4 linked regions of the Tamandua tetradactyla genome follow. The protein of the gene in region 3 interacts with the protein of the main gene of each other region in a pairwise test. Links are inferred from orthologs where the notes say so. Each region holds a gene or a part of one and is shown on either strand. Other genes may lie near its edges.

What was found.
Region 1: the proteins of CCDC33 (region 3) and KHDRBS3 interact in a two-hybrid assay, tested with the Homo sapiens proteins (2 studies listed by BioGRID and IntAct). The link is inferred for Tamandua tetradactyla from reciprocal best matches to the Homo sapiens genes CCDC33 and KHDRBS3.
Region 2: the proteins of CCDC33 (region 3) and ZGPAT interact in a two-hybrid assay, tested with the Homo sapiens proteins (2 studies listed by BioGRID). The two-hybrid records come from large-scale screens. The link is inferred for Tamandua tetradactyla from reciprocal best matches to the Homo sapiens genes CCDC33 and ZGPAT.
Region 4: the proteins of CCDC33 (region 3) and HNRNPF interact in a two-hybrid assay, tested with the Homo sapiens proteins (3 studies listed by BioGRID). The two-hybrid records come from large-scale screens. The link is inferred for Tamandua tetradactyla from reciprocal best matches to the Homo sapiens genes CCDC33 and HNRNPF.

Annotation. Positions count from the first base shown.
Region 1 is NC_135332.1:179,346,058-179,353,882, reverse strand, and holds the start of KHDRBS3 (KH domain-containing, RNA-binding, signal transduction-associated protein 3), read right to left. Parts: upstream 3,012-7,825; 5' UTR 2,962-3,011; coding exon 2,874-2,961; intron 1-2,873. UniProt on the Homo sapiens protein: RNA-binding protein that plays a role in the regulation of alternative splicing and influences mRNA splice site selection and exon inclusion. Binds preferentially to the 5'-[AU]UAAA-3' motif in vitro.
Region 2 is NC_135327.1:61,162,922-61,170,137, reverse strand, and holds the start of ZGPAT (zinc finger CCCH-type with G patch domain-containing protein), read right to left. Parts: upstream 3,009-7,216; 5' UTR 2,849-3,008; intron 2,176-2,848; 5' UTR 2,111-2,175; coding exon 1,524-2,110; intron 1,043-1,523; exon of another isoform or gene 938-1,042; intron 1-937. Other genes in the region: ARFRP1 (ADP-ribosylation factor-related protein 1), read left to right, coding at 4,097-4,189, 4,438-4,525, 4,692-4,774. UniProt on the Homo sapiens protein: Transcription repressor that specifically binds the 5'-GGAG[GA]A[GA]A-3' consensus sequence. Represses transcription by recruiting the chromatin multiprotein complex NuRD to target promoters.
Region 3 is NC_135338.1:67,862,170-67,869,905, forward strand, and holds the start of CCDC33 (coiled-coil domain-containing protein 33), read right to left. Parts: upstream 3,006-7,736; 5' UTR 2,963-3,005; coding exon 2,891-2,962; intron 1-2,890.
Region 4 is NC_135339.1:2,957,330-2,965,165, forward strand, and holds the start of HNRNPF (heterogeneous nuclear ribonucleoprotein F), read right to left. Parts: upstream 3,006-7,836; 5' UTR 2,873-3,005; intron 2,624-2,872; exon of another isoform or gene 2,491-2,623; intron 2,261-2,490; exon of another isoform or gene 2,045-2,260; intron 1-2,044.

The sequences.
Region 1 (7,825 bases), on a different chromosome or scaffold from region 3:
CTTTAATTCCAAAGTGATACTTGGCCTAAGCACGAAAATCTTATACAGTGAATGCACCATAGTTTGAATCTTTAAAGACCATGGAAAACATGTCCAGAAAGAAACTCAGGAGAAAAAAATCAAGGGAAGTCTTCCTGCAGGTCGTCCTCCCTATGCTGAGCCCTCAGGTACGATGGGGTGCACTACATTGATTTCTGCAGGGCTCTGAAGGCGCGTATGAGGAGTACTTCATTTCCTCTCTGGTGGAGGGCCAAGGTGGAAAGAACAAGTAGAGAGCTGCACAACCCAGAGACCTGGGTTCAAATCAGATCTCGGCCGCCCACCGTGCGCCCAAAGAAGCGGCGCCCCCCCCCCCCTTCCAGCCTTGCAGGCTGCCTCGGCGAGAAGGGGGAAGTGCCCCGGCAACTTTAAAATACTAAGCAAACATAAGGCGCTGAGAGCATCTGGAGATGTAAACCGTAAAATACATCTACTTTATGTCACTTGGCAATAAAATAAAGGTTTGCAATGCTGACCCATTATCACTGCACAATTTAGAGCCGGAATATCAATTCCAGGGTCGAGATTCAGAACAACCCCTGAAAAGCATGGTTTTCAGAGACAAAGCCAAACATTTAGCTAAAGAAGAATAGATCTTTTCACATCGCCAATACTGAGATGAACTTCAGATGTTAAAATAAAGCTTCCTAACTATCGATTCTAATTCAGACTCAAGACACTGTGCTTTATTTAAAAGTTCACTAGTGAGCATGAAGTTACATAACAGAGTATAATTAATATTTTAAATTGCAGGGCTTTGCACTCTGGATGTCTGCCCATGATGTGAAGGGAAAACATTAGTCTGAAGTAATCTGAATTAACAGTCCTCCTAAGAACACAGGAGGAGCACCTCTTCCTTCCTTCACATCCCATTCAACGTGAGAACTGTCGTTCTCACAAGAATTACATTTCTGATGGAAAAGTAAAGGTAATCCAGCTTAGCAACAACAAAAACATTTCTCCAATACCTGTTTCAAGTAACTGCAAGCCACTGACACTGGAAGTAACAGAAACCAAAAGAATTTCCCATGTATTACCAACACAACGCTACACCAACATGATACACAAAAATAATTGACTTTTGAAATAACTTATTGTTTTCAGTTGGGTTATTTCCTTAACTGAGTACACCACAACTTTGATTGTTTCCTTATTAAGAAAAATGTACTCAATTGCCCAGTTCAGAGTATTTCTCATGCCACTGATCTCACACAATGTACAAAGAAATTTCTTTCATAGAGATAACAGCCCAGCAGGCAAAAAAGAGATATACGTAAATCATAAAGAACAATGAATACAAACCTAACTGGAGAACTGTTCAGAACAAACAGTACAGGAATAAAACCTAATTTTTTTTCTCTCATTTAAGAATACATGCCCATTAGTTTTTCACAAATCCATTTTATTAGAGAAACAAAAATAAGCCTGCAATTAGAATAAAATGGGGACGCTCTGTAAACCCATTCCTGTTCAGCAATTCAGACAGCATGCTCAAATTCTTGGAGACAGTAAGATCCTCTCTCCACCAGTCGACAGCACACACCCTCCTCTGAAGAACCGGTTGCATCAGGCAAATATTAGAAGTTGCTGTTTTCAAATGTAAAAATCTCTGTATCAAATAAGAGTTAACCACGTCCTCCTTCACTTCCAACGAGAGAAGAGCCAGGACTAGCACTGAGAACGGCAGATCCGATTTCTCTCGGGGACCACGCGCTGGCCACCCAGGGCGATTTCGGTCACCAGCTAGCCTCTGACCAGACACCGTTTCTGTCCTCCCCGAAAGACAACCAGCCGCCCCCCAATCCATCTTCGGCTGAAACGCGGGTTCCAAGCGCAGGCGGGGCGGGGCTGCTCCCGAGGGACTCATTTACCGGGCATCCCAGCAGGTTCCTCACAAAGCCCAGGGGCCCGGCCAGGCGACATTGAGGGCAGGCGGCCCCGACCCCGACTGCCCGGAGGTTCTCACGCTCAGCTGGACGGACAGGTGCTACGACGACACAGGCAGAGAGGACTCCTCTGCCAATATTCTGAACCCCAGACACTAATGAGAGTCACCCACCCAGCGCTTCCCGAAGAGGAGAAGCAAGTCAGTCGAGAAGGGGGCTCTTGTGCCCGCTTCTTCTACTGACTCCTCCAAGGGCCAGGCTGCAGGCTGGTGAGATGCCTACCCCCAGGGAGGGCAGACTGTAGTGCCTCCTGCACATGGGAGGAACAGAGGGCTCCTCCACTGGGACCACTAGATCCTTTTCTTCAAAGATGCTTTGGGTCTGACCCCAAACCTCCTCCAAGGTCCCCAAACTTCACCAACAATCCAAGCACCTGCTACTTCACCTCGTCTGTACTTGTTTCCCTCAAATCCTTCCATGTTCCTCCAGCTCTTTCTCCAGTCCCTTAAAACAAACCAAATGCCCTAGTTCCCCTTGTCCCCCGCACTCTCTTCTCCGATGAGATCATTCAACCTCCTCCCCGACAAAGCCCCAGATTCTTCCCCATCTGTTTCCCGTCCAGAAGTTTCCCTGGGGTATCCCCAAGTCCCCAAAGATTCCCTTCAAGTCTCACCCGACACCCCGCCCCCCAGTCTTCTCCTTTCTTCCTAAGCCCCCTAAATTCACATCCCCGTCTTCCAGCAGAAGTCCCATATTCTCGCGGGTCCCCACCCAAATGCCCCCAGATTCCTATCTGTCCCCTCCCCACAGCCTCCGCGATGTCTCTCCCCAGCGCCCAGCGCGTTCCAGCCAGTGGCACCCCGCAGCCCCCCACGCTTCCACCCGGCCCGCCGCTCCCGCCGGGGCCCCAACGGCCCGGTCGACAGTTAACCGCCGGGGCGCCCTCACCCTGGTTCACCAGCCGCAGAGCGTGTGTGAAGGAGGGGTCCAGGGAGTCCTTCTCCGCCATCAGCTCCGGCAGGTACTTCTCCTCCATGCTCGCCGGCCGCCGGGGCCCGGGACGCCGACTCGAGGCGGCCCGCGGCGGCCCCGCGCCCCCGGCGGCGCGGACCCGGGCGCGGCGCGACAAGCCGGGCGGACGACCCGGCGGCGGCGGCGGCACAGGTGCGGACGCCGACCGCGCGGCCCCGGTCCCCGGTGGCCGCTGACTGCCCCGCGCCCGCGCCCGCGGCCGCTGCCTCCCGGACGCTGCCCCGTGCTCCCGCCGCCGCCGCCGAGCCGAGCCGGCGCCTGGGGCCGGGCCGGGCGGCGCGGGCCGCGACCCTGCAGCAGTCCCCGCGCGCCCCGCCAGCCGCGCCGCGCACCGGCAGCCAGCGACCCGCACGCCCAGCGCCGCCCGCGCTCTCTGAGCGCTCGGGCCCCGCGCCCCGCTCGCGCCGCCTGCACGCCCCGCCCCGCGCTGCGCCCCGCCCGCCGCGCCTGCGCGCCGCGCCCTCCCGCCGCCGCCAGCACCGCCTCGCGGGGCCCGGGACTGCGCGGGGGGCCGGGCCCGCGCCGGGCGGGGTCTGGGGGCGCGCGGGCCTCGGGGAGAGGCCGCAGAGGTGCCGTGGTAGGGCGCAGGCCGGGAAACTGAGGCCCGGAGAGGCTCAGTGGCTCATCCAAGGTCACCCGGAGAGTGAGCCCGGAAAGCGGGGTGTGCACACAGCCCCCCGGGACAAGGGCCGAGCCTGGAGGGAGGAGAGGGGCCCCAGCTTGGCGCTGGCCCCAGGCGGCGGAGGAGGGTCACGGGGGGAGCCGCCCGCCCTTGGACGCGCCCTGGATTTCCTTCCTCGTCTGACTTCGCCTGGCCCGCCTCTGCATTTGCAAGAAAACGTCGCGGGGGGCGCAGCCCGCGCCCGGCGCTCGGGCTCCCAGCGCCCGCCTCCTGGACTCGTGGCTCCGAGGCCGATTACATAAAAGCGCGTGCCCTTCAGGGCGTCTTTGTCACACCCGACTTGCCACCCCATTGTCATTCTCTTCGCCGGTGGAACCGGCTGTGCCTGGGTGCGGATGAACGAGCTGCCCAGTCCCCTCGCGGGGAGACGCCCCCGGATACACAGGCTCCCCCACGCTGCGCTCAGATTTCCCAGCGTATGTGCAGCACACATCCCAGCGGCCTGAGGACTCCTGCCTCCCCCCCCCCCCAAACTCCAAGCTCAAGAGCCAGCCTCAATGTCACCTTCCCTGGACACCCTTCCCGGACTTCCCTGCAAAGCTGGCCACTCCCCAGCGAGACCAGTAATGATCTGTTTCCAAGGACGACCTCCCTCCCCCCCACCACGCCACCCCCACCCCCACCGCCATAGCAGGAACACTTGAGCATCTCCCAGTCTGGGTAGGGTTTGGGCTAGGGGGAGGGTCCGCAGCCGGTGACAGGGCGAGGGCCTGGGGAGCACCAGTTTGTTAAAGGAATAAGCTAGAGCCCTGCCGCCCCTTGTGGGCGTCCTCACAGCCCCCCCACCACACCCCCTGGATTCTTAAATGCAAATGGAGGCAGCTGTACAACCAGGGAGAAGAAACCAAAGGAGACTGCAGACTGCTGCTAAAGCCCCCACTCTCCGTGCCCAAGTCCCCTTATGCTCAAGCACGCCTTCTGACCTGACTACCAGGTACAGTAGAACCTTCTCACAAGGATTTTGCAAGAGGATTAGATGGCCCAGTGTGTGGCCTCTGGGCCAGGCGACCTGGATTTGGAATCATGGCTCTGCTGCCCAGGAGCTGTGCACCTTGACATGTGAACTCAATGGCTCCATGCCTCCTTTTCTTCTGCCTCCTGCACGGTGCTTCCCTTCAGCTGTGGCCCCAGGGGCCTTTAGCCAGCACCACCCCTCAGGGTCCCCACCCAGGACCCAGTGCATGACCCCAGTGACCCCCGGCCCAGAGCGGGGTTGGCAGGGCAGGGTCGTCCCCTGTGCCAGCTCCTCTGGTGATTCATCGTGACACCCCACTGATTCACCCCACAGAGCCGCAGACCTACATCTCCAAAACCCCGTTGTGTCTGCTGTCCCAGAGGCAGTTTAAAGGCTTCATGGGGAGACGTTTCCTCCTTTAACCCTGAATGGAAGCGCCTGGCTTGTGGTCCTGCATACAGGACTGCAGTCTGGACCCACGGCAGCTGCTTGAAAGGGAGGAAGGGAGGAAGAGCCTCGGGGACACGCAGAGGGGAGAATGGGGACCAGTGGCACAGCTGCTCCCATCCGGCCCTGGGCCCTGCACCACCCCCCCATGGCTCTCTTTCCTCTACATCTTCCATGTGGGCCTTCTGCGCCAGCCACTCGGCCAACCTTCAGTAAGGACAGGTTTTTAGAAAGCATTACTAAGTGCCGGGCACCGTGCTGGGTGCTTTGCAGTCACTGTTTCCAGTCCTCTCGATACCTGCAGGGAAGATACTTTTTATCACCATGTACACGTCAGGGCAGTCAACACTCTGCCTAAGGCCCCTGAGCACACCCCTGGGTCCTCCAGGGAGGAAGGAGACACACGGCTCCGTGAGATGCTCAGGAAACTGTCCCCAGTGGGGTCGGGGGCAGAGCGCCTCTGCAGGGCCCTGACATGGATCCTTTTGGAGAAACTCAATCCGGGCCTCGTTTCTGGCCAGCGGCTGCAGGCAGCACCCACTCAGGGCTCCTGACACCCAGGCAGTCTTGGAGGGGGGCGTGGTGGGGTGTGTGATGGTACTCATTGGAGTGCTGGCTGCACGGCACCTCCTACGGGCACTGCCTCCCTGGGCATCGGGGATACAACGTGGACAGTTCTCCTGAGTCCCTTGAGGCCTCCAGGGACCACTTACTCTGCGTTGAAATAAGAAACTGCCCCCTCCCCTCGGATTCGCTCCATGCCCCCAAGACAGGGGGGCCTCCCCTACCCACCTCACCCGGGACCCCAGGGCCCTCCCAGGATCGTGCTGCCCCCACAGCAAGTCCTTCCTGTCCCAGCCACCCGCCGGGACACCACCCCCAGCCCCCCAGCCCAGGAGAGAAGGACAAACACTCCCTGGACCTGATCACACTCAGGGCAGGAGGTCAGGCGCTGCCCAACTGCCTGAGGACACAGAATGAAGGTGGCAGTGTGTGTGAGGGAGACAGCTGTCACGTTTGCCCGGGATCGCTGCCCTGGCTGGGAGCCTCCTGTGCCTTCTATTGGAGAAAGGGGAGCCCCAGCCTGGTCTCCCCCAATGCTTGCAGTACTGCGGGCGCAGGGCCAACGTCCAACTGTACTGGTGTGCTCTGCGCCCAGACAGACCCCGGTTTGGGCCCCGGCTCCCCTCCTTAGGGGCGGTGTGATGGAGAGTCAGCTGCTCTCGGGGTCCCAAAAAACAGGGAGGGGAGAAGTCGGGTCTCTCAGGACTGCGGGGGGAGCGGGCTGCAGCCTGAGAGTGCTCCTCACTGGCCTCGGCGGCTCTGCCCATGCCCTGCCCACAGGTCACTCAGCACACAGGCGACCACGGCCCCTAGCCCCTGCCCGCCCCAGCCCCGGGCCCCTGGTTCTCAAGCCATGCCCCCTAATCGCAGCCCCAGTGCAGGCTGCTCGGGCCCTGGGGCACAGAACTTTGCCACGTGAGACAAGCCCCCAAAGGTGGCCCGACCTTGCCTAGAAAGCCCGTAGTGTGGATGTCTGGATAGGGAGGAGGGAGGCCCCACGAGTGTTCCCGACCCCGGCGCCTCCCGGGTTCAGCAGGAAATGCTGCCCTCCACGCTGAAAACTTGGCCAGCCACTGCGGGGGCACCGGGGAGCTCTTCCAAGTCGGGGTCGCCACCGAGCCTCAAGTCAGGCACGCCTCTGCCGCAGGCTGCGGTCCTAACGCGCCCCCCGCGGTTCATTCACGCAACCTGCAAGAGACCCCACGGGCAGCTGCGGGGGCCCGGCCAACCCGCGGGGGGCCCTGGCTTTTAGAGACGAGGGGACAGTGGCGCAGAGAGTGACCCATGGGTGGTGAGGGAGACTTGGATACAGCACGTACACGCCCGCACACTCGCACGTGTACGCGTGCACACACTCACACGCACGCTATCCCGTACGCGGGATGAGGCCTTCCGCCTCCTTAGCCCCCTGCCCTGCGCGTCCGCGGCCGAGTCTTCCTGGCCGAGCACCGCCCCCCCGACTCCCACCCCGGCCCACCTCCCCGACTCCGCTTGCCGGGAAGCCGCCGGGGTCCGGCGTCCCCAGGCTGCAGAACCCCAGATACTGCGCACGCCCCCCCTAGTGGCCAAATTTGAAAGCGCACCCCCAAAAGTGCTACGTTCTGCGCGGATCCCAAAAGGGAACCAAAGAGGACGTCACGCCGCCCCAGGAGGGAGCGCAGTGAAGTCTCCTCTCAGGGCAAGGCACAGGAAAGGGAGAAGAAGAGGACGGAGAGAAAAAGAAGGAAAAACATGCCCCATAGTGGGAGCCACTGCAAGAGAATGAAAGGAGCCCCTTGGTGGTGGGGGGGGGGGGGATGCTTCTCCCCTGACCCCCACGCGAGCAGCCCTGGAAGTGATAGACCTGGCCGGCCCACAAGGGCTGGGGGTGGGGGGGGGCGGGCATAAGACCCGCGGACCCGGCTATCTCTTCCAAATCCAAATCTCTCTCTGTACATATTTCTGAGCCTGTGAGAAGTGGTCAGGAGCAGTTGTTCTCTTCCTATTTTGTTGAGATCCGATGCGAACAATAAAGACCTGCAGAGGAAGCCTGGGAAATGCTCTGAGCTCTCAGTTCCAAGCACCACAGAAGTTACTTTCCTCAGCTCAGCAGCCCCTATCCTTTGCTTCCTGGTTAAAAGGTTACATGTGATGCTGAACTGCCGAAGTACTCTCTGTACTTTCGCAGGGCATCCGGTCATCGCCACTTCTAGTGCTTTGCAGGATGCTGTGATTTGAAAG
Region 2 (7,216 bases), on a different chromosome or scaffold from region 3:
TAAAGTAATCATGTTAAAACACTGAATGAAGCTGCATCTGAGCTATAGGGTTTTTTTTGTTTGTTTTTTACTATTATTACTACTTTTATTTCTTTTCTCTAATTAACATTTTATATCTTTTTCTGTTGTGTTTCTAGTTCCTCTAAACCGATGCAAATGTATTAAGAAACGATAAAAAAAAAAACAAAACTCTAGGAAACAGAAATAACAGAAGAGAGCGCTTTGTGACTCTAGAAAAGCTACTTAAATAAACTTTCTTCTAAAGGTTCAGGAAAATTAATTTCTCATAAAAGTGAGCAACAGAAAAGTACTGATGTTTATTCCACATAAAGCTACAAGAAAAAAGAGAAGAGAAAAACAATGAATGTTCACTAAAGAGGACTACTCAAAAAACAAAAAACAAAAAACCCCACAGAATGGTAGAATGCTCACCTCCATGCGGGAGACCAGAGTTCGATTCCCAGACCATGCACCCAAAAATTAAAAATTAAAAAAAAACAATGAAAGGACATCAAGAATACGATACAAAACTTTAAAGACTAGCATAAATCACAATTAGGAAAATTTAGAAATGAAATGACAGAATTTTTAAAAGAATTAGGAAGAAAAACTCCACTTTAGAAATAAAAACTGAATTAGAACATGCACAAGAGCAAATAAATATGACAAACAATGACTTAAGGGAAAAAAAGGAATTTTCTTAAAAAAAGAGGAATTTCTTAAAATTTTATCAAAAAGAAATGGAGATAAAAAAGACTGGTGAGAAAAAACAAAATTTAAAAAGAGAAAAAACTAAAAAAGCAAATAAAAAGATTGATAAAGAAGTCACAAATATTAAAAGACAAGTAAAGAACAATAAACAGAGATACCTAAACACATACTAAAAACTAATTAGAAAAAACTTTCCTGAGATAAAAAAGATCTGAAACTGCAGATTGTGCTCCCTCTGGCAGTACACACACTAAGGATTGGAATGACGAGAAGATTAGGAAGGCACCTGCGCACAGATGACATGCAAATTTGTGAAGCCGTTTCTATTTTTTAATAGGGTGGTATACAGGAACCTTGAATTTGGTGCATGACTCTTCTGTAAATCCTCAACTTCTCTGAACAAACAAAACCTTACATATTGAAAGGGCACTATGCTTCTAAGAATATGGATTCAGAATGATCCACAGCAAGATGTAGCCCAGAAAAACCACTGGAATTTAAAGAAAAAGTCCTTTGGGCACAAAGGTCAAAGGAGCATGTGATTTTAAAAAGATTAGATTATCATCAGTTGCCTAGACAGCAATGGGTGGCACAGCCAGATGCAGACTCACCACATAGGTCCAGGCCCACCTCCACCCCTTCCCAATTGAGTGACTCTGGGCAAATGACTCCCCCTGTCAAAAAAAAAAAAAAAGGAAAAGAAAAAGCTCTCTTCTTGCCAGTAACCTGGCCAGGACTGATTACAACCCTGACCTTCCCTGCATGCCCCTCATATCCTATAGCCATGGGACCCCAAGCACCAAGAGCTTTACCTGCAGTTCTCCTTGAATCGGCACTTCCCCTCCAGGAAAAACGGGCAGGGCTTCAGGGCCTTGTGCGTGGGGTAGAGATAGAGTACCCGGACAGCTGTGGAGCCGTCCTCTGTCTCCTCTGTGCCCACAATCATGGCGTTGTGATACTCCAAGGTGCCCCACGGACTGTAGTAGGGGGCGTTCACTTTTGTCCCACTTAACTCTTCCTCGTTGTCACTGTCCTTCCCCTCTTCCTCCTCTTGCCCAAGTCTTTTGGGTTCTGGCCCTGCCTCTCTTTTAGGAACAGTCTCCAATTCTGCCTCTGGGGCTGCTGGCACCTCTACTACCTCAGCAACAGCCTTCTGGAAAGCCATGTATTCAGCATCTTCCTGGGATGGGTGCACTTGATCCAGTGTGGCCAACAGCTTGCTCTTCCTGACAGACACCAGACTGGCCTCAGTTAGTTCAATCAGCTCTTTCAGGTCCCCTTGCAGCTGGCGCAAGTCTGCCTGCTCAGATGAATCCAGGTCAGCTCCCAGGGCCAGCTCCACCTGCTGCAGCTGGGCACGATAGGTCTGAAGAGCCGCCTCCAGGCTCTCCTCATCCATCCTATAGAAGGCTGGTTGGTTTTGGGTTTAGGGCAGGTGCGGGTCCCTGAGTCCTCGAGAGGAAGCTGCAGAAGCCAGAGTTGCAAGAAATCGAAGGCAGCTGAGCCTCAGGAGTCTGAGGCCCTCATTCTAAAGCAAACCCTGAAGGCTGCGGTGTACTGGACATGGGCTGTTAACCATGTTCTGTGCTGAAAGCTTTACACCGATGCCATAAAATACAACAGCCTGCCAAAAGGTGTACGGTGCGTCCTCCCTTTTCAAAGATGAGAACACAGGCTCAGAAAGCTTAAGGAACCCGCCCAAGGCATAGCTGGCCGGTGAAGACCTGGGGCCGGGCTCCGTAGCCGCTGTCCTCCCCAGTCCAGGTCTGCCTTTCCCTCTAAAGGCCTACCGACCTTTTGCTGTCACGCTTGATCCGGTTTCTCCGCGTGGTGTTTTGCATCTACTCTCAGCCCTGTGCTCAGGGCTCTCCCAAGCGGGGTGACCGGAGAATCTAAAAGCCTTTTCCCCTCGGGCCCGCCCCTGCCTACGCCCCCGACCCGACCCAGTCCTCCGACTCCCTCCGCCCAGTCCTCCTCAGAGTCGCCCCCCCATCCCTTGGGCTCTTTTCGGGCCCGACTCCATTCTCTGCCCAGACCCCTCAGGCTCCTACCACCCACCGCCGCTCGACCTCGGAACCGGGACCGGGACCGGACCCGGGCCCAGGCCCCGGCCGCTCCACCCGGGAAAAGCCCCCACCTTCTCTTCTAGGTCCGTTCTCCCCGCTGTTATCCAGCCGCCGCCATAAAGAGCCCCGCCGGCCTCACCGGCTACAGCCGGCAGCCCTGCTTCCGCCCCCGCAGCCGAACAGCACTTCCTCCCGAGCGCCGAGGCCGCCGGAAGTGCCCGGCGCGGGGGTTGCCGGGTGCGGCGCGCGGGGGCCGCCGGGGCTCTACGCGGCTCCGCCCTTCCTCTGGCGGCCGGGCCTCGTCCCAGCAGGCGCCGCGCGGGGTTAGGCTCGGGGTCAGCGCGCGTAGGTCCCGGCGGCAGCCGCAGCGGGTCCAAGGCCCGGGGCGGAGGCAGGTGGGCCAGGGACTGTATCGCCGCCGCCTGGAGCCCTCCTGAGGGGCCGCGGCCGCCCTCTGCCCCGAGCGGCGCGGCGCGGACGTGGGGGGTGAGGTCGCGGGAGGGGGCGCCCGCCCAAGGCGAGGGTGTCGCTCGTGGGAGCGTCTGTTAGGCTGTTTGCCCAAGAGTTTGGAAACTCGGTGTCCAAAGTGCGGGACTACCGGGAGACGGACTGTGGGCCTGGGGGGATCTCCTCCGCAGAAGTCTGCCCCCGGCCGGGCCCATCCCCTCTGCCCACCGCCACCTCTAGGTCCACCTCGGGTGGGCTGAGATCGCAGCCTCTCTTGTCGCTGCAAAGCCACCCCTGGAGCTTAGAGAATGGGGAGCCCCACCTCAAAGCCTTCGGTGGCTCCTGCTGCTTAGTGAATCCCTCCTTCTCACACATGCTCAATTTTAAGAACGATCTGGCTGTCCAGACTTGGATATCCAGTTTGGGCAAGTGTGTCCCTGTTCCCTGTGCACGAAGAGCTGAGCACAAGTGGAGCCTTAAGGGGAGGCGGGGCTCAGTGAGCAAGGGGAAGGGGGTGGGGTGAGGATGCAGGGGGGCCTGGAACCGAGTTCACAGTCACTGCTGTGAGTGGAATGGGAGTGGGAGGCAGGAGTGAAGAAGTAGGGGGTGGTCCAGGAAAAGCTGGTGGTGGTGGAGATGGAGAGAAGCCAGACAACTGGGAGAGATTATGGAGGCAGAGCCAGTGGGACTTAGAAATAAAGGGAGTTGGGGTGGGGAATCAGGAGCCACCCTTAAGATCCTGGTTGGAGCTGTCAGCAGGACAAATGGGTACCATTTACCAAGGTGGGGAAACCCGGGGGAGTAAGGAACGGAACGGGTCAAACCACCCCCATGTCTTACTGACTTATCTCTTGGGGTGTCCCAGGGGCAGAATGTATACGCTGCTTTCGGGCCTGTACAAGTACATGTTTCAGAAGGATGAGTACTGCATCCTGATCCTGGGCCTGGACAATGCTGGAAAGACGGTACACGCTTGTTTCTCTTTCCCGTCTCCCCCAGTGTTTCTTCCTTTGGGTTTCTACCTTCAGCTCTACATTCACCATCCAAATGGAATCCAAACCCTGTTAACGCTCACAGGAAGGTCACCCCTAATCTAAGAGTGGAGGTGCTGGCTTGTTTTTTTGAGGAAAGTTTCGAGAAGAGATAGTTGGGAAACGGGCTTGGCAAACTGCTCAGGTCCTTCATCTAACGCAGATCTGTCCTCCCTCCTCAGACCTTTCTGGAGCAGTCAAAAACGCGGTTTAACAAGAACTACAAAGGAATGAGTTTATCCAAGATCACAACCACTGTGGGCCTGAACAGTAAGCCCTTAGGGTATGGGTTTGAGTTGCTGGGGGCGCCAGGATGACCATAGCCGGGCTGGGCCCCCGTCAGGTAGCCCGTGGGGATTTGCTCTGTCAGCAGGGGAGCCAGGATGTGGGGCTTCCAGCGTCAAGATCACGAGCTTCATTCTTTCTCCTCTCCCAGTCGGCACTGTGGACGTGGGAAAAGCTCGTCTCATGTTCTGGGACCTGGGGGGACAGGAAGAACTGCAGTCTCTATGGGACAAGGTAAGGCTTTCTTCAGGGACTCAGGGGCACTCCTGACTGCCCCGCACGCCTTTTCTCTGAAGACAGTATCCATCGTTCCTTTCCTTCCCTCAGGAAGGCCCAGGACCCAGCCTTCTTTCTTTTTTCCCCCCAAAATTGAGGAAGGCCTGGGTTTCTTTCGGTTTAGAGATCTTGTGGCCAATCACCACAGGAAGCAGACAGCAGATGCCTAGGGCCCCATGAGGGTTGCAAAGCCTGTCGGGTGCTGAACTGCAGGGCCTGGGCTCTGGGTGTCCTCCAGTGGGCTCCAGCTCCCTCTCCTGTGTCCCCAGCCTAGGTCACCAGGGCCTGTTCCCCGGGGGTCTTCCCCATACAGGCACTGCCTCTTCCTTTGGCATGGGTTTTGGGCATTTCAAGTCCCACAGTGCAGGACTGAATCCACAAGGGGTGTAGAATCTTTCTTCAGATTTGCCTGGGGTCCAGCAGTGAGCAGGACAGATGCAGCCTCTTCCCTCAGTGGTCCCTTCCCCTCAGGTTGGTGGGGTTGGGGCAGATATGCCTAGTGCTCGTGTGGGGAGCTAAGGCCCAGGCACTGATTTCTGGTTTGACCCCCAGTGCCTGGCACACAGTCACCTTTGCCTGGGCTCCTTTAGAGGTGCCCCCTCCTGCCAGGAGAGCAGGGCAGCAGCTACCGCCTGGGCAGAGGGCACCGCTGCACTGTGGCCCCATGCATTGGACAGAGGCAGACGCCAGCCAAGGGCCTACCTTGTCTGAGCACCAGAGGCACATGGGGCTTATTTCCCCATACCACGCGGGTTCTCACTTAGGTGGAAGCAGGGTGTAGGGTGTGTATACTGGATGAACATCCCAGAAGGGCCAGGGAGATTGCTCAGCAGGAGCTTGGGGTTGAGAATTGCTCCTCATGGTTGACCCAGGTCAGGCCAGGCCGGCCAGGCCTTACATCACCACCTGGACCAGGCCCGGGAAGGGGGGACCTGAGCAAGGTTGCTCTTCGCAGCCTAAGCAGAGCCCAGAGGAGCCAACGACTAGGCTGTCCGCCACACATTTCCCACAGCTGGGCAGCAACGGGACAGCTCAGAAACTGCCAAAGGTCACTGTGCTCCATGCGGCTTTGCCCCTCCCCCACCTCCCGCTGGCCTCGCTTGCTCACCTGGTCTCATAGCTGGACCTGGGCAGCTGATGGGGTCCTGCTCCTGGTTACCAAGCCCCCCTCCTCTGCTTACAGTCTCAGAGAACCAAGTGGAACCCCCATATACCAACCACTCCCATGGGGCACAGCAGCCCTGCCTGCTGCCGCCAGTCAGGGTCAGTTACCATAGCCAGTAGCCTTGCTCCAAGGGCTGTGTAGCTACCTGAGGTGGTGACCCTCCAGCACCCTGGCACACTAGCCATCTTCCTTAAAGGCAGGAAGTTGTCTGCTTGGGCTGGCACAGCCCAGCTCTGGAGTCTCAGCGACCTGTATGGTGGTTTTCTTACAGGTTTGCCAAAAACTGCAAGCATCTGTTGCCACCACAGATGCCCTAGAATTATGGGGTCTGCCGGCTCCCAGGTCTTGCACAGCAAGGTGGCCTATGCATCCCCAGCAGGGCTTGCTTTGCTTCTGGTGGTCTTTTGTGGTTTCCTGTATGTTGGCTAGAGAAGTGACCTTGTGTAGGCCTTTCCTTGAGGCCACCAGATCCTGGGAGGCCCGTCAGGTGTTGAGTTTCTTTCTGGATTGGAAGGTAGAAGATGCCACCAGCTGCCATTTCCTTTGGCGTGTGGGCCTTGGCTTGTTAAACTCCTGCATCTTGTAGCATGGTGGTCAGCAGGCAGGGTGTGCGAGGTGTAGGGTTGGCGTGGGCGCTGAGGGGTCTGCAGGTGTCCCGATCTCTGGGCATTCATGGCTGGCCAGGGCCTGTCTGCCAGGGTTTGCCACTCCTGATGTTCTTTGGGTTGGAATAAAGCGGATGCCCCTGCCAGCAGCTGCACCACATGCTCTGTGCACATGCTGCACCTAGCTAGGGTCTGTTCCTCTTAATTCTCTTGTACAGAGTTGGGCTAGTGCAGTGAGTGGAGGTGTGAGGGCCACTGTCACTATATCTTTTAGGTCAGTGGTTCTCGAGAGGAGACAGTGGAGAGGTCAGGGATGCTGCTGGACTGGTCAGCTGTTCCCAGCAGTGTTGCCCCTCCCAGGTGTGGCTGGCGTTGAGGGCAAGGAATCTGCAGGTCCCCAGGGAGAGAGCCCAGCCTAGTGGGCTACTGGAGGCCCTGACTGCTCGCCACAGCCCATGCACTGCTGTGGATACTGCTCCAGCTGTCAGCGTGCCCCTCTCGGGGCGTGCGGGCCATTCAGCCACTGGCGAGAGGCGACAGTGGCCTGAGCACAGGACTGGCAAGTCCTGTGGAAAAGGTGTTGCCATCACCAGAACTGCTGTGTCTTCGGGACCTGGTCATCTCCACCAG
Region 3 (7,736 bases):
TCTCAGTCCCTCCCTTGCCTCTTCCATCCTTGGTTTGTCTTTTTTCTGCAGCGTCTCCCCCTCCAAACTGCCCCTGACTGTAGCAAGCTCTGTCAGTCTAAAATACCATTCTCCCCTGTGACGCCTCGGCTCAAGAACTTGCCTTGCCTCCCTCCTGTTGCAGTTCACCACAGCTCTGTCAGAATGAGAGCTGGAAAAGGGCAGGAATGCCCCCACAACCTAACTTCCTGTCGTTCCTCAAGACCTCCATCCTCAGCTCCAGGTCACCTCACATTTCAAGTCCATTACCACCTCTAAGCCTTTGCTTTGGCAGGTTGCCTTGCCTATAATTCCTAAAGCCCATCTACTTTTGAGGTCCTAGCAACTGGCATCCTGTCACCTCACCTCAAAGCACTGTCACTTCATGTCCCTCCTGCACACTGCACTTTACAGTTTACAAAACGTATACACATCCATGGCATCACTGAACACATTAATGGAGATTAATGAATGTGCCCATCCCAGATGCCACATCTGTCTTCCACCCAGAGAACCCTGTGGGCCAGGAAGGAGAAGAGGCCTTCGTCCACACACAGGGCCTCCTGGGCTGGCCATCTCTAGCAGACCCAGTGGCAGGGGCTCAACAGCTCAAGAGCTGTGGATTCATGGGCCAAAGGACCATCATGATGAGAGCTGCTGACAGGAGACGAAGGCAATCACAGTTAGAGCAGTCAGGGAAGGCTTCTGGCAAGAGGAAGGGTTGGGAGACTCAGCATGAGTGGAGCCAGAAGGACAAGCCAGAAAGTAGAACAGGGTGAGCCAGGGTAGCACCTAAGAAAGGCAGGGAGGGTGGCTTCTGAGGTCCGGAGCATGTTCAGTTAAGCCTTGGCAGCAGTGGGGAGTCAGGGAAAGTGGGTGACCTGGGGAGGTGGGAGCCAGAGGAATGTTTATGGGGTTGACTATGGGGTGTGGAGGTGGGCCTGCTGTGGGTAGGGTCTCCTGGCTCTCCCCCTGCACTGGTTGGCTGACTCTCTCCACTCAGCATCTGAGGGTGACACAGCTGACCCATCTTCACCCTTGCTAGGCCTCACCTGGCAGAAGGCCAGGTCTCCTCTCCCCTCCTGCTGATTAATAGGCACCAGCTGATGTGAGGGGGCCAAGGAGAGGGGCAGTGGACTGCCTCAGGTTCCAGGTGGAGCCGAGGGAGCCCCTGGGAGGCTGATCCTTTCATCGGGAAAGCTCAGCTTGTCAGACCCTGCATTCCAGGGCAGCCTCTGGTGGAGGGGGGAAAGGTCCGTGGAAATCATGGAGGACCATGTCTTGTTACATGGAGGAAGGAACGTGGCCCAGAGAGGAGCCGAAGGGAAGGCTGGAGAGCTTGAGCTTCTGATTGGCCCTGTGGCCTTTTGTGGATTAGCTACTTCATTCAGTTTTCAGGATGATGGTATGGAAGCCCCAGCCTACTCAAGATGGCCCCTTGACAGCCTCCCTTGGAGGGTTGGTGGACATCTCCACATTAACAAGCCAAAGCCCAACTCCATAACTCCTTTACTGTCTCTTCAAGCTTCTCTTCCCACAGTCTGTCCCAACTCAAGGGCAACTCCATTCTTCAAGTTGTTTAAGCCCCGACCCTCAGTGTCCTTCACCTATCCGTCTCTCCCCCTCTCTGCCCGCACACCCGGCCAGCAGCATATCTTGTCGGCTCTACCTTCAAACTGAATCTAGAGTCTGACCGCTTGTCACCATCGCCACTTCAACCGCCCCGTACAAGACACTCGCCTCTGGATTGTGTTCCCTGTCTCCTTTCTTGCCGTGCCTCCACCCACCACCCCACTCCAACCCCTCAGCAGCCAGGGTGGTCCTCCTGTGCTCAGAGTCCTGCAGTGGCCCCCCTTTCACTTGGAGCCTTTGTTCGGCCCTCTGGAACTGACCTCCTCTTGGTCCTCCCGGGCTCACTGTGCTCCAGGCCCCCTGACCTCCTGGCCATTTCTCAGAACACAGCAAACTCTCTCCCGCCTCTGAGCTTTTGCCCTTCTGTTCCCTCTGCCCCAGTAAGCTTTTCCCCCAAATGTCCATCTTGGAAGCTTGCTCCTTCACTTCCTGAAGGTTTCTGCTCTCTATCAGGACCTCCTGGTGGAGGCAGTGGCCCTCGCCTAATGGCAAGCAGCAGGGGTTGGGGGGGCTTCCCTTCCTCTGACTGAGCAGGGTGCCCCTCCCCCTCCCTCCAGACCCCAACAGGACTGTCACCATTTGCAGAGGTGTTAATGAGAGCTGCCCCTCCCCCTCTCCTCTATTTTCCTACCAGGCAAGGGTGGGGGTGGGAGAGGCCAGTGCTTATAGGGAGCTCCAGTTGGTGGAGGGGAGATGGAGGGGCTGTGGGACAGCCCGGGCACTGCTCCCTCCCTTCCCTCGAGGGTCAGACTGCTTCCTTTCCAAGGTCCGTACTCACTATGCCCCCCCCCCCCCCCCCCCCCCCCCCCCCCCCCCCCGCCACAGCCAACTCCACCCCCCCAGCAGGTGTGGGCCCCTGACTAGCTTGGGAGGGGACAGGGAGGTGGATTTTAGCCTTGCTGTGCCTCCACCCCCCTGTCCTCTTCTCTCTGAGCCTCATTTTTCCGCCTGGCCAAGGGGAATATCTGGAATGGTTTCTGATTCAGTCTTCTGGGTCCCTGGCTGATCAGAGGTTCCTGCAGTAAAGCCCGGAGAGGTGACTGATGCGCCACCCACCCCCAGATTCCCAGGAGCCGCCTGGGACGGCAGTCCCAACTCCTTGTTGTAGAGAGCACAGGGCCTGTCATTCGCCCCCTAAACTCACTGAAGTGAGGGCCCAAGAACATGTATTTTGACCTTTGGGAAAGGTTATATCTCAAAATGCCAAGCTCAGACCAGGAATTGGGTCCTTTCCTCTTACCGCCTCTGTGCCTCCCCCTGGGACAGTCTTCTGGGAAATAAAGCTTGCAGAGGGTTTGGAGAGAATATTCATGCTTCACTTCTGGGCATGAGGCCAGCTGCCAGGCTGGCGCCTCCCGGTGAGGCCAGCAGGCAGGTGCCCACTGGGCAGGCTGGGCCCGAGGCCAGGGAGGTTGGGGCCAAGTGTGAGGCCCAGACTAGGGGCAGGGCTGTGGGCCGGAACTTTTCTGCCCGTCCCTCTTTCCTTCCCACATCTGAAAGGGAATCTGCAGGTTTCCCTCAGAGAGAGACATGCTTGCATCAGGACCAATGGTTCCTCCCCCACCCCCCACCCCCTGCAGGGCTGCACTGGGGGAATGTGTCAGAGGGTGGGGGGTGCACATTCTGGGGAGTGAACTGTGGGTGATGGTGAAGAACCCCCATGTCTCAGGTACCACAGATCCATCGGTGGGGGTATAATGAGCTCTGGGAGAGAACTCACCTCTGCTGCTGCATGCCTCCTCTGGGCAAGAGCAGAGCTGGATGCTACATCTGCTTTTCAGACTTATTCTCAGTTAACCCACCAGCGCCACTAGGGTGGAGAAAGTAGTAGTCCACCTCTCTAGGCCGGTTTACCTGCCTAGAGCCACACAGCCAGTGGATGGCAGAGCCAGAAATGAGTCCTGAAGACTGCTGGGGTCCAAAGCACAGCACTCTCCACCACTCCACCAGGACCTGGCCCGTGGGCTGGCTGAGAAGGTGCTATTTCCAACACCTTAACCCTCGAGGCTGGCTGCCTTGCCCTCAGTAAACCAGATTAGCCAGCAGATGTCTGGGGGTAACTGGGACTGTCTATTATTGAAGGCATTTTTGGATTGGGAGCACTGGGGGAGCTGGGGGAGGACAGGACCAGCAACGGAGGAGTTAATGGCCCATTAGACTCAACTCCCATGGTCAGGGCCTAAAATTGGCTCTGGTGGGGATGGAAGAAGACAAACTCCTCCATCCCCCAGATCCTTTTTCCCTCACGACCCTTCTCCTCCCAGCAATCTGGAAGACCAAGAGAGGCAAAGAAGCTCAGTTCCACCCTCCAGAAGAGCCCTGTGTCTGAAAGCCACCCCGCTGGAGAAGCTCCACTGCAGGCCAGAGAAAGGGCCAAGTTTGATGAAAAGAGCCCTCAAAATGGGGTCTTTTTCTGTTTTGTTGATAATGGCCATTCTGGTGGGTGTGAGATGAAAAAAAAAAAAAGGGGTCTAAAGCAGATGGCAGAATAATGAGCCTGGGGTCTCCTGGGAGATTTTGGAGAGTGATGATGAGCCATCTCAGTGGGCTCTCTGGGCCCATGTGCCCTCAGCAACAAGAGGGTACAAGCCCCTCTCCAGGTTGTGTGTGGGTGCAATAACTCAGGCCAAACTGCACTTTTCTCTGGGTCACGGGAACCTCGGCCTGGGGCAGAAACAACCAGGTAGGGGTAGTTAGTTGACATCACCTGTGAGCACACCCTATTTCAGATCCCATGCAGCCCAGGAGGACAGGATACCTAAACTGCAAGAGCCACAGAGACCACCTCACCCCACTCCACCTTTCATAGCTGCAAAACCAGCGGTTCAGAGAAGGGAGGTCTTGTCATGATATAGGAGGAAACAAAAACAAGGGACTTTGAAGGAGAGGTGAGTTCACGCAGGGGTGTGTCCCATGCCCCCAGGCCTCACCTTTTTCTTTTTCCGTCCCATCCTCTTGGGGCCAGGAGTGTTTGGCCTTGTTTAACAATCTTGGGTACTGGTACCTGGGACTGATGGGTGACCAGGCATTAGTCGTGTCCAGACAGCTGGCCCAGGCACCACGGGGGCCTATGGGGGTGACGGACAGTACAGAGCATCAGTGGTGCGCCAGTGGTGCCATACACTGGCTTTGGGGGTGGGGGGTAAGGACAGGTGGGGTAGGGTGGGGCCTAGGTCTTTCTCAGCAGCAAGAGGGCTAATAGGTACAGATGCCGAGGGGGGTCTGGGCCATAGCTGGCTGGGCGGGGATTGGAAGCCAGGCAATTGACTCCTGGTGCTCCCAAGGTGAAGGCAGGAGTGGCTCTCTCTCTGCCCGGAACCCAGAAAAGTAGTGAGCTTTTCCACTGCACGGGGTCACCTGGGCAACACTGTGTGATGTCACAGGCAGGACGAAGCCACACCCATCCCTGTCCAGTGGAGGGGGCTGGGATCAGAGGCCCATTTCCTGACTCTCAGAGCTGCATCCTTGCTACTGTCTGGCACCTGGTCCTCAGACTTCCTGCTCTTGGAATGGCCAGGCAACCAAGATTCCCCAACCACCCTATGTGCCAAGCCCCGCGCATGTCACACTACAGGAAAGGAGGGGACTGAGGCACTGCCATCAGTTTGGCAGGAAAACAGCTATATCTATAAAAGAATCTGCAGCCATCCTGACCTCTTGGGTGCTTCGTTTAAAACAATAATAAACACAAAAGTTAAGAGAACAGTTTCCTCTTGAGGTGGGAGGATGGGGGAGAGAATGGGAAGAGAACCCATAAACATACGTTATCTATGATGTTCTGTTACTTAGATTGGTGGGTCACCTATTGGGTGTTGATTACGTTATTGAAAATAAATTATTAAAGAATTAAAGAAGGCCGAATATGGGTCAACAATGGCACTGGATTGCAAATCAAAGGTTATGGTTATAGGGTGCATGGATGGGTCACTGGTAGAATGATTGACTGCCATGACCCAGGCTTGATTCCTGGCCCATGCACCCCTGCCCACCACCCCGAAAAAAGAAAAGATTATGGTTGATCCAATTCTGAGCTCCATAAAAAATTGTTACAAGGATAACTTCTTTTTCTGTGTGAGGCGCAGCGCTAAGTGCTTTTAAGTGCAGCAAGATGTCAGAATAGGGAGTGAGTAGCCCCTGACCTGGCGTGGTGGCTGCTCATGGGAAGGTGGGGTTTGGACTTGGCCTTGATGGATGATCAGGAATCCTGGGCTAGAGTTTGGAAGTATTTGGGAGACCCCTGTTGTCTACTTGCCTCATTCTGCCAGCTGTTTTAGATCCCATATTGAGGGCACTTTCCATTTTCCTTGGTTTGTGACCCACGGACAGGCCCACCACGGTGGCAGGAGGCAGGAGACGAGCTTTGATGAGGCTTCCCAGCTTCTCCCTTCACCTCTACTCCAGAGAAGGAGGCAGAGAAGATGTGGTTCTTCCCAATTTAGAGACAGAAAAAAATTGAGGCCCCATGTTTGATTAGAACTGAAAAGACTGGCTGTGGTCACACAGACAGGTGGGGATGGGAGCCAGGAGTCTCGCTTCCAGTTTTCTGCCCCTCCTGGCCTGCCAAGGGTGGTGCCCCTCGGGCTCTGGGGCCACGAACCTCCCTCGGCAATGGATGGGCTGGTCCCGCTCTCTCCTGGACCAGCACTGTCACAACATGGAGCTTGTGCCGAGCAGGATGCAGCTGCCGGTTCCAGCTCCCTGCAGTGCCTCTGCCCTCCCTCCCTGGCCTGCTTCATCCAGGAGGCAGCAAGTTCAATGGGTGGGCAGCCAGCACTGACCCTGTCCCTGTTCAGGAGTCCACAGCAGGATGGGAGAGGCTAGCAAGGTGCCTAAGGAGTAAGCTTTAAGGAAGCACTCACTTGCAGGGCTGTATGAATGCTCCCAGGCAGGGCACGCCCCTTTGAAGTTCATGCTCTGCCCACCTGGCTCCCCCCACTGTAGTCCCAGCCCTGCCCCGCATCTCCTCCCCTCCAGCCCTCATCCAGCCACCCTTCCTAGGGCTGCCCCTGGGCACAAGCCTTTCACTCAGCTTCCTTGAGCTTTCTGCAGGTACAGCCCCCAGCCCTGTGGCCTTCCTGCCTGGGAAGAAGATAATGAATGCAGTTGGGTGCTGGTTCTATGCCAGCTGGCTCCAGAGCACCAGAGGGCCCTTGCACGTTCAACAGTCACCAGAAGGGGGCCCCTTCCACCATCTCCTGGGGCAAAGGACCCCAGGGACACCAGCTCCTGGGCCCACCCCAACCTTCCACCCAGAACTACTTCCTTTCCTCCCACCATCAGTGAGAGGTCCTTCAACCTGGGGGCTGGGGGTGGGCTTTCTACTTAGCGACAAGACTGATAGAAGCTACTTCACATTTCTATCTGCCCTTCCTCCCCCCACCCCCACCCCAGGGAAATGAGCCTCCTCTGCTCCCCAGATGTCCAGAGGAAACTTCTGCCCCTGCCCAGTGGGCAGCCCCAAGCTTTAATGACTCAGAGTGAGTCCAGTGTGAGGAGGGGAAGCAGGTAATGATTAATCTCACAGCTAATAGGTTACCCTACTCCCCCGAGGCTGAGACCACATGCCGCAGTGCAGAAAGAAGAGAAAGTGCTGGAAGCAGCGTTATTGGAGGGTCCGGGGGTTAAACACAGCCATTAGGAAGCCCACAGCTCTGGGAGGGGCAAGCCGCTGGCTGGAGCCCTGTTTGGGGGGAAGGCGAGGTCCCCCGAGCCAGGCTTCCTTGGCTGGCCTGGCACTGGGCTTGCCAGGCAGCAAGAAGGGTCAGGGCAGGTGGCTCATGGCTGTCCACGCAGCCTCTTGCCCAGCTTCTGGGGAGGCAGCCTTTGGGGCCTAGGTTGGCACTAACTACCCATGCAACAGGTTCCAGACAAGGCCCCCCCTTCCCTTTTGGCATCACTCCATTTCTTTTGAGCAGCTGAACTGGGGCTTCTGGGAAAAGGACGGGACGGATGACCCGTGAAACTTGGGCAAATGTGATTTTGTACTAAATGGCAGCTCACAGCTGTGTGATCTTGGGCAGGATACTAACCCCCTCTGAACTTTAGTTCCCTACCCCCAGGGTTGCCAAGAGGACTGAATTAGGAAA
Region 4 (7,836 bases), on a different chromosome or scaffold from region 3:
TCAACAGCATGCTTTTCACATGCTATTTAAGAGCGTTTCCTAGCCTGAAGCCATGCAAACATTTTCTTAACGAATGTTTTGTTTTTACATTTAGATCTATAATCAAATGGAATTGGTTAGAATTGTTTATTCAATTTTAAGGCTAATTTCAACCATGAACCCAGATGCAAAAATCCTAAACATTAGCAAACCAAATCCTACAACACAAAAAGCCATAATATATCATAATCAACCAGGATTTATTCCAAGAATGCAAGTGCAGCTGATTATCTAAAAATTAACTGCTTATTTCTCAATAAAAATACTTAAGTCGATTGCTGCAATTTGTCACATTTAACAGATTAACGGAGACAAAATGATTTAACTAAATTTTTTCATGTTTATGAGAACTGCATAAAGACACTTAACCTCATAAAAAATCAATGAAAAATTTTAAAAACGAGATAGATTTATCACATTAGCAAAAATACAGAAGTTTCACAACATATCTTAATGGCAAGGTGGCCCTGTCTGGATTCCACCTCTTATCAACTAGTTGTTTATTTGCTATATTGTACAATCAGGGACATCTCAACACTCATATGTGATATCAAGTAGTTATTAGTAAGGTGTGGGAGTGGTATTATGGGTTGTTTTACGAGTCGTTAAAAATAGAAACTGAAATATTTATGACTAAACGACCCCTCTCATTTCCACAGCCCCTCCAGGCACTAACCCAGATCTCCACGGTGCTGCCACATCCTATGATTATTTGCTACCCTTATAAAAATTCGCATTTTTACCTACATATTTTTAAAAGAAAGCTTTGCAACACTATAATTAAGTGAAAAGGAGAGCCGCTTACCAGTTTAAAAGAATAACCAAAAATAAAGTCATTAACAAACCAATCATAACTAAAAAGGAAAGCATAACATGTAAATGATAAAGCTAAACAGTTTACAAAATGCGTACGGGACCATTAAGACCTCAAAGGCGAAGGATAGACTTCCTTCACGCCCGTCTGTAATGCAACAATCTCTCACAATATTAAGAGTAGAAATTCATGGATGCCTTAGATTGGATATTTCTATAGCCTTCCTTTAATTTGGACGCTTTCATGTCCTTAGAACATGCAAACTTGCAACTTAACAAATTCCCCTTCTTAAAGGCCAAAAAAAAAAAAAGTAGAAACTCATTTTACTTTAAAATGAAAATATCTTGGTATGCAGAAATTAAGAATGAAAGCAAACTTCTAATAGGAACTCAGATACAGTTTACTTTTATAAAACTGTCCCAAAAGTAGTCTTACCGAGTTGGCTACGACGCCCCGCGGCCTCCCAACCCTCCAGTACGCAGCCCGCCCGGACACGTGGCCGCCCGGCGGTTGCCTCCCGCCATGGCGGGCTGACGACCCCGGCCGGAAGCGCGTCCTGCACCCTCGTGGTGCCGGGCGAGCACGTTGCTGCGCCAGGCGGCCGCGAGGCACGCTCCGAGGAAGCCCTCCGCCCTGGGCGCCCCCGCGGGGAGGCCACGAGACACGCATCCCCCACCCCACCGCGGACGCACGCGGGCTCCCAGCGCGCCGGGGACCCGGGCCCTTCCGGAGCCCCCAATTTAAGCCGCGGACTTCAAGGAGGAAGAATCCGTCAATTCCCACCCGGACCCTCCGAGGGCGGAAATCTAGGCCAGAACCCCTCAGGAGGGAGGGGGCGACTGCGTGGGGCCGCCCCGGCCGCCATCCGAGGTCGCACTCTCCGCGACTGTAACCCCCAAGCCGCTCTGACCCCAGCCGTCACTCCCTGGGCGGCACTGTCCCAGGATTATAACTCCCGGGTCGCCACCTCCGGGCCGCTATGAACCCGGCGGTCCCTCCCACACTGTTCTGACCCCGGGCCCGGAACTTTTCTAGAGAAGGAACGAGTAAAAACCGACCCAGAACCACCAGCAAGGAAACGGAAAGGAGAGGTAACCAGAGCCCCGGGAGACCGCCCGGCAGCAATGGGGTCACGAGGCACAGCATTACACGAACAAACGATTTCCGTCCCCAGTCCCTCAAACACGGTACCTCTGGAGCAGCGGACACCGCACGACGGGGACGCTCGGGCTAAACTGCCAGGGGAGGCAGACCTCGAGGGAGCAGGGCGAGGGAGGGCCCTGGGGCGCGGGAGGTCGGCGGTCCCTTCTCTGCACACCAGGCCCAGGCACTCAGCTACGCCAGGAGCCCGAGCCCACGACCGAAGGAGCCGGCTGGCGCGACGCTGAGAAGGGCTGAGGCCGGCGCGCTTCCTTCCGGGTGCGCGCCCCGCCCGACCTGAGCGCGGCCTGCAGGCCCGCCTCTTCCCCCGCCCGGCTCCGCAGGCCCCACCCCCGGTCCCCAGGCCCCGCCGGCCCCCAGCTGGCGGCCCTCGCCCTCACGCTCCGCCTCCCACTGGGCCCCAGCCCCGCAGGCCCCACCCTACTCCTCGCAGACCCCGCTCGGCCCCGGGCTTGCGGCCCTCGGCCGCCCCTCACCGCGGGCTCCGAGTCTCCACGCTCCCGCTCTTCACGTCCGCACCGAGAGGAGGCTGGAACGTGCTGGACTTGGCAGTTGTAGCCGAGGCAGTTGAGGCTTGTTTATCGTCACCATGGAAACCCCCCCACCTGGCAGCGCGCCCGGGGCGGGGCCTCTGAGGGGCGGGGCCTTCGGGCGGCGCGCGCGTCCCCAACTCCCGCCCGCCGAGCGCGGCCGGCGCTTCCGGAAAGTCCTCCTCTGCTCGGCGTCCCGGTCCAGCTCGGCCTGCTCGGCGCAGCGTCAACTTACGCCCCTGGGAGCAGCAGCCCCGCCCTGCCACACCCCTGCCCTGCTGCCGAGTGCCCGTGTGACGGCAGGTCGGCGCCCCTTCTCGAGCCTCACCTGCTTCTCCTGTGAGACGCGGCGCAGTCCTACTTCTTCCCAGGAGCCGGAAGGCCGAAGACCACGACGGGGCGGATCCCGGGGCGGGGCCTAGATGGTTGGACCTGGAGGCGGGGCCGCGAGGGCGCTATTGTGACGCAGCGGAGGCCGGGCCCGGGATTGGTCAGCACGGCTTGAGGCGGTGCCTAAGCCGGCAACGAGCGGCAGGACCCGGGGCTCTTGCCCAATGGCATGACGACGATCCTTGGCTCCGCCCTGGCCTAGAGCCCCCACCGCCAGCGACGCGAACCCCCCTGCTCTTCAGCCGCGGGGCCTCTTGGGAGCTGCTTGGTCGCGGCGCCTTCTGGGAGTTGCGCGGGCGCGGGGAGCTGGGCCTAGCGTGGGGGGAAGGGCGCGGCGGGAAGAGACCCCGTGACCCCGCCTCAGCCTTGTGAGCAAAGGCCCGGAATCTCGGCTAAAAGCCAACCGAGTGCTCCCGCGGGCTTGCGAGGAGGTAGTGGGTCGTTTTCGGATGAGAAGGAAATGGAGGAAAGAGACCCTTTAGCCCGAGGTTTTTGGAACGTGTAGTCAGGTTGACGCACGTTGGCCGCTTCCTCGTCACGCGGGCCGAGAGGCGCCAAAGCCTCAGGACGTGACTCAGAAGGGCCTTGCGGGGCTCCAGCGCCGGGTCCCTGAGCGGATGCACGGCGGCCTTTGGCCTCGGTGTCTGTTGTTTCAGGGCTCGTAAGCATTGCCGGGTTTTGTTTACCTCCTCGTAAGGTACCGAGGCGCTTGTGGCAGGTTAGACAGGAGAGTATCAGAGTCCGAACACAAGCCGTGCTCGGAGTCGTCAGTGCATGGGGCGCCCCTTCATGAAGAAAGCGGTTTGTCAAAAGAGGCCGCTTCCAGGGAAGAGGAGAAGTAGGAGCTGTCGGGGGGCGCAGACGTGCAAGGAGAGAATGTAGTAAATTGAGGCAAAATTACAGAAAACAGGTCTTCCAAAAACCAGGTATTCCTAAGAATCCCACACCTTATTTTCCAGAGAAGTCTCTATCTGGAAAGGTGGATGTTTAAACTGTCCAGAAACATCGCTGCGTTCGGCACTGCGAGGCCTCGCCCGGGGAGGTTTGGCCCCGCGCTCCCCGCGGGGTGTGGGCGTCGGCCCTCCCTGCGGTCTGAGGCCACCCTGAGTCTGACCCCGTAGTCTCAGGGCTTCCCGAGGTGGAGGGCCGGGTCCTTGGCCTGTTCACCACTTCCGCCTGGCCCTAGGGAGCCGTCCCAGGTGTTCACTAGTGTGCCTTTTCAGAGCGGAGCGTCGCACAGGTGCCCCCGAGGCCCAGGAGGGCCTTCCTCCTCCTCCGGGGTGGGGGCGGGGCCTTCCTCCTCCGGGGGTGGGGGTGGGGTGGGGGCGGGGCCTTCCTCCTCCGGGGTGGGGTGGGGGCGGGGCCTTCCTCCTCCGGGGGTGGGGGTGGGGTGGGGGCGGGGCCTTCCTCCTCCGGGGGTGGGGGTGGGGGCGGGGCCTTCCTCCTCCTCCTCCGGGGTGGGGGCGGGGCCTTCCTCCTCCCGGGGTGGGGGTGGGGCCTTCCTCCTCCCCGGGGGTGGGGGTGGGGTGGAGGCGGGGCCTTCCGCCTCCGGGGGTGGGGGCGGGGCCTTCCTCCTCCGGGGGTGGGGGGTCAGGCCCTGCGGCAGAGCCTTCCCACCGTGTCCAGGCTGGTCGCGTCCAGTCATCCTGGACCACCTCCGTTGCTGTGGGAATCGAGCAGGCTGCTGACCTGTCTTCACTTCTGGTCCTGGTGGGCTGTGTGCTCAGAGGTGTCTCCCCTAAGCTCTGGGATCTGAAGAGGGACCTGTTTTTGGTTCTGGAGAGTCCCTGCCCAGAGATGGACCTGTAAGACCTTTGCTTTAAGAACAATTCACCACAAATGTGTGCACAGGTATGTGATGACACGGTGAGCCCTACATTGTACACTGTGTTTGGACTGTGTGAAAATTTGTCAATAAAAATATTCTGTAAAAACTCACCACATATGTATAAATTTTTTTGTTTTTGTTTTATTTCTTTTTCTGAATAGATGCAAAAGTTCCAAGAAGTGATCATAATGATGAATATGCAACTATGTGATGAATTTGTGAATTAGTGATTATATATGTAGAACGAAATGATCAAAATAGGAATGTTTGCATTTGTTATGTGTTTTTTGGTATTTAAAAAAAATTAAAAAGAATTAAAAAAAAAAGACTTCACCACAAACGTAGATTATGCCAAGGTATATTCTCTTACAGATTGGTCCTTCTGTCTACATTTATATCATTTTGTTTTTGTAAATAGATCAGTATGTTAAATTTAATACTTTTCAATGTGTTTTATTTTATTTATTTTTTTTGAGTTTTTAAAAATAAGTTCCTTTTGCCAGGACCCGGCATCAAGGGATTGAGAAGGCTTTCTTGAGCAAAAGAAAGGAAGAGAGAAATGAAACTAAAGTGACTGAGAGTTTTCGAACACAGTCAAGAGGTTAGCCTGGAGGTTATTGCATATTGTGTAGATATCCCTTTTTAGTTTATAGTGGAATGAAGTGGCTGGAGGAAATACGTGAAACTGTTGAACTGTGTTCTGGTAGCCTTGATTCTTGAAGACAGTTTATAACGATACAGGTTTTACAATGTGATGTGTGATTGTGAAAATCTTGCTCCTTTTATCCAGGGTGTGGACAGATGAGTAAAAAAATATGGATACAAAATAAATAATAGGGGGGATAAGGGGTCAATAAGAGGGAGGGGTTTGGTATGTATGAGTTTTTTCTTTTTATTTCTTTTTCTGGAGTGATGCAGATGTTCTAAAACTGATCATGGTGGTGAATACACAACTATGTGATGAACTCGTAAGCCATTGATTGTACACCATATATGGACTATGTATGTGAAGATTTCTCAAAAATATATTTTTTAAAAATTAAAAATAAGCTGCTCCTGATTCTGAAGCACTGGCCAAGTCTGGAATCAACTTACCCATAACAAATGGTGCAGAGGTTTGGAGAGTATGGTGTCTTATAGTTTTCAAGCACTTGAAAAATCGCTTTACTCATTAAGCTTTGAGCCCCTTCCCTAGAACAGTGCTAATAGGTAGGGAGGAATCACCAAGGCTCAGAGAAGTCATTTGCTCAAAATCACAGTATCTGTTAAATAGCAATCATGACAATAGCTAACATATTTTGCACCTTCTCTGTAAATGAACTATGTAAATAGTTCATCTCATTTGAGTCTTACACCAACCAAGCGTAGATATTATTATCAGCATTCCTAGTCACTGGAGGAAAACTGAGGTAGAGTCGTTCCAGTCATTTGCCTTAGGTCTTTCAGCTTGTAGGTGGTAGTTCTGGGCATCGAATGAGGCAGTTTGGTTTCAAGGTCTGCTCTTAACTGCTGCATTCTAGATCCGAGGAGAACTAGGTCTTTAAGGGTGGCTCCCAACCCCCTTCTCTGCTTCTCTTTCCCATCCAAGAGGAGAGAGTGTAGGAAGTGAGAAAACAAATTGAACAGTCCAGCCACAGTATAGGCCCTGTCTGTCCAAATGTAGCATTTTCCTTGAGACAAGGTGGTTTATTAGGCAGAGGAGGGAAAAGACCAGAGGTGAACCTAAGACGCTTTGGGGGGAAATGTAACCTGTGGAACTGGCAATTGTAATCCATTTTCAGGGTTTTGCCTCAATTCAGCACTTTTTTCCCAGCTCAGAAGCAGGCAGATACAGCAGTCAGTCTTATCTGGTTAGTTTTCTTGACCCTTACAGAAAAAAGGGACTTCTGAAGGAGCGCATGTGCCCATACAGGGAGTCAGCATGAAGGCGGAGCAGCACATTAACATATCTTAAATAGTGGAAAAGGGGTAATGGCATTTCCTAAGCTTGATGGTTGGTTATTTATGTGAATCACTTTCTTTGGTCGGCAACAGACTGCAGGTAGACTGGGTAGGGGTGGGGGGGTGGAATGCCTGTCTTCCTCTGCCCACTTCCCCAACTGGCCGGGCTGGCTACTGCAGCCCTAACAGGTACATTAGGGAGCCAAGTTCTGGCTCTGTGTCCACGCTGAGGCATAAGTTTTCCCACTAAGAACTACATACAGTGCAGTGCTTCCACCTCTGCTGGGTGAGGAGGCCCAGGACAGTTAGAAAACTTCATTCTGTTCAAGATGTGTTAGTGGGCCCTGGGGTGGGGAGGAGAAAGTAGCTTGCAGGTTCTTATTCCCTCTCTGCTTCTGTCTCTCTTGCAGTAACTTCAAATTTTAAAAAATTATGAAATGCTTAAACACATGGGAAATTAGTAATAATATTGTAACAAATGTAAGATATTGACGTTTTGCCATATTTTATTGTTTTGGAACCAAAAAAAAATTGCAGATGAATCAGTGCTCTTCACTGCTTCAACTCTTTAAAAAGCACTTACTGTAATACAATTATACCACTTTAAAAGTCTTTTTATTTTGGCACCATATATACAGCATAACATTTCCCTTTTTAACCACCTTCAAGTGTACAGTTCAGCGGTGTTAAATTCCTTTACAATGTGCTACCATCACTACCATTCATTACCAAATCTCTTCCGTCACCCCCACAGAAACTCTTCACCTATGAAGCAAGAACCCCCTATTTCCCGCCCCCTGCCCCTGGTCCCCTTTACTCTGTCTTCTGCCTCTATGAATTTGCATATTCTAGTTATTTAAAGTAAGTGGGATCGTACACCATTTGTCCTTTTGTGTCTGGCTTATTTCAATTGAATTATGAAATATTTCAAAATTTCAGAAATGTCTTGAAGACAATATACAGTCAGTGGGGGACACACTGAAGTTCTGGAAGCAAGAAGAAACAAAATGTGTGGTCCATTTATTTACACAAATTTCTTTCAAGAATATTGCTTCCTTCCTCCCAGTGTCTATTTATAGATACCCAAGTTTGGATGGGTGGGAAAGAGCCAGGCCTGAGGCCCCATGTTCCCC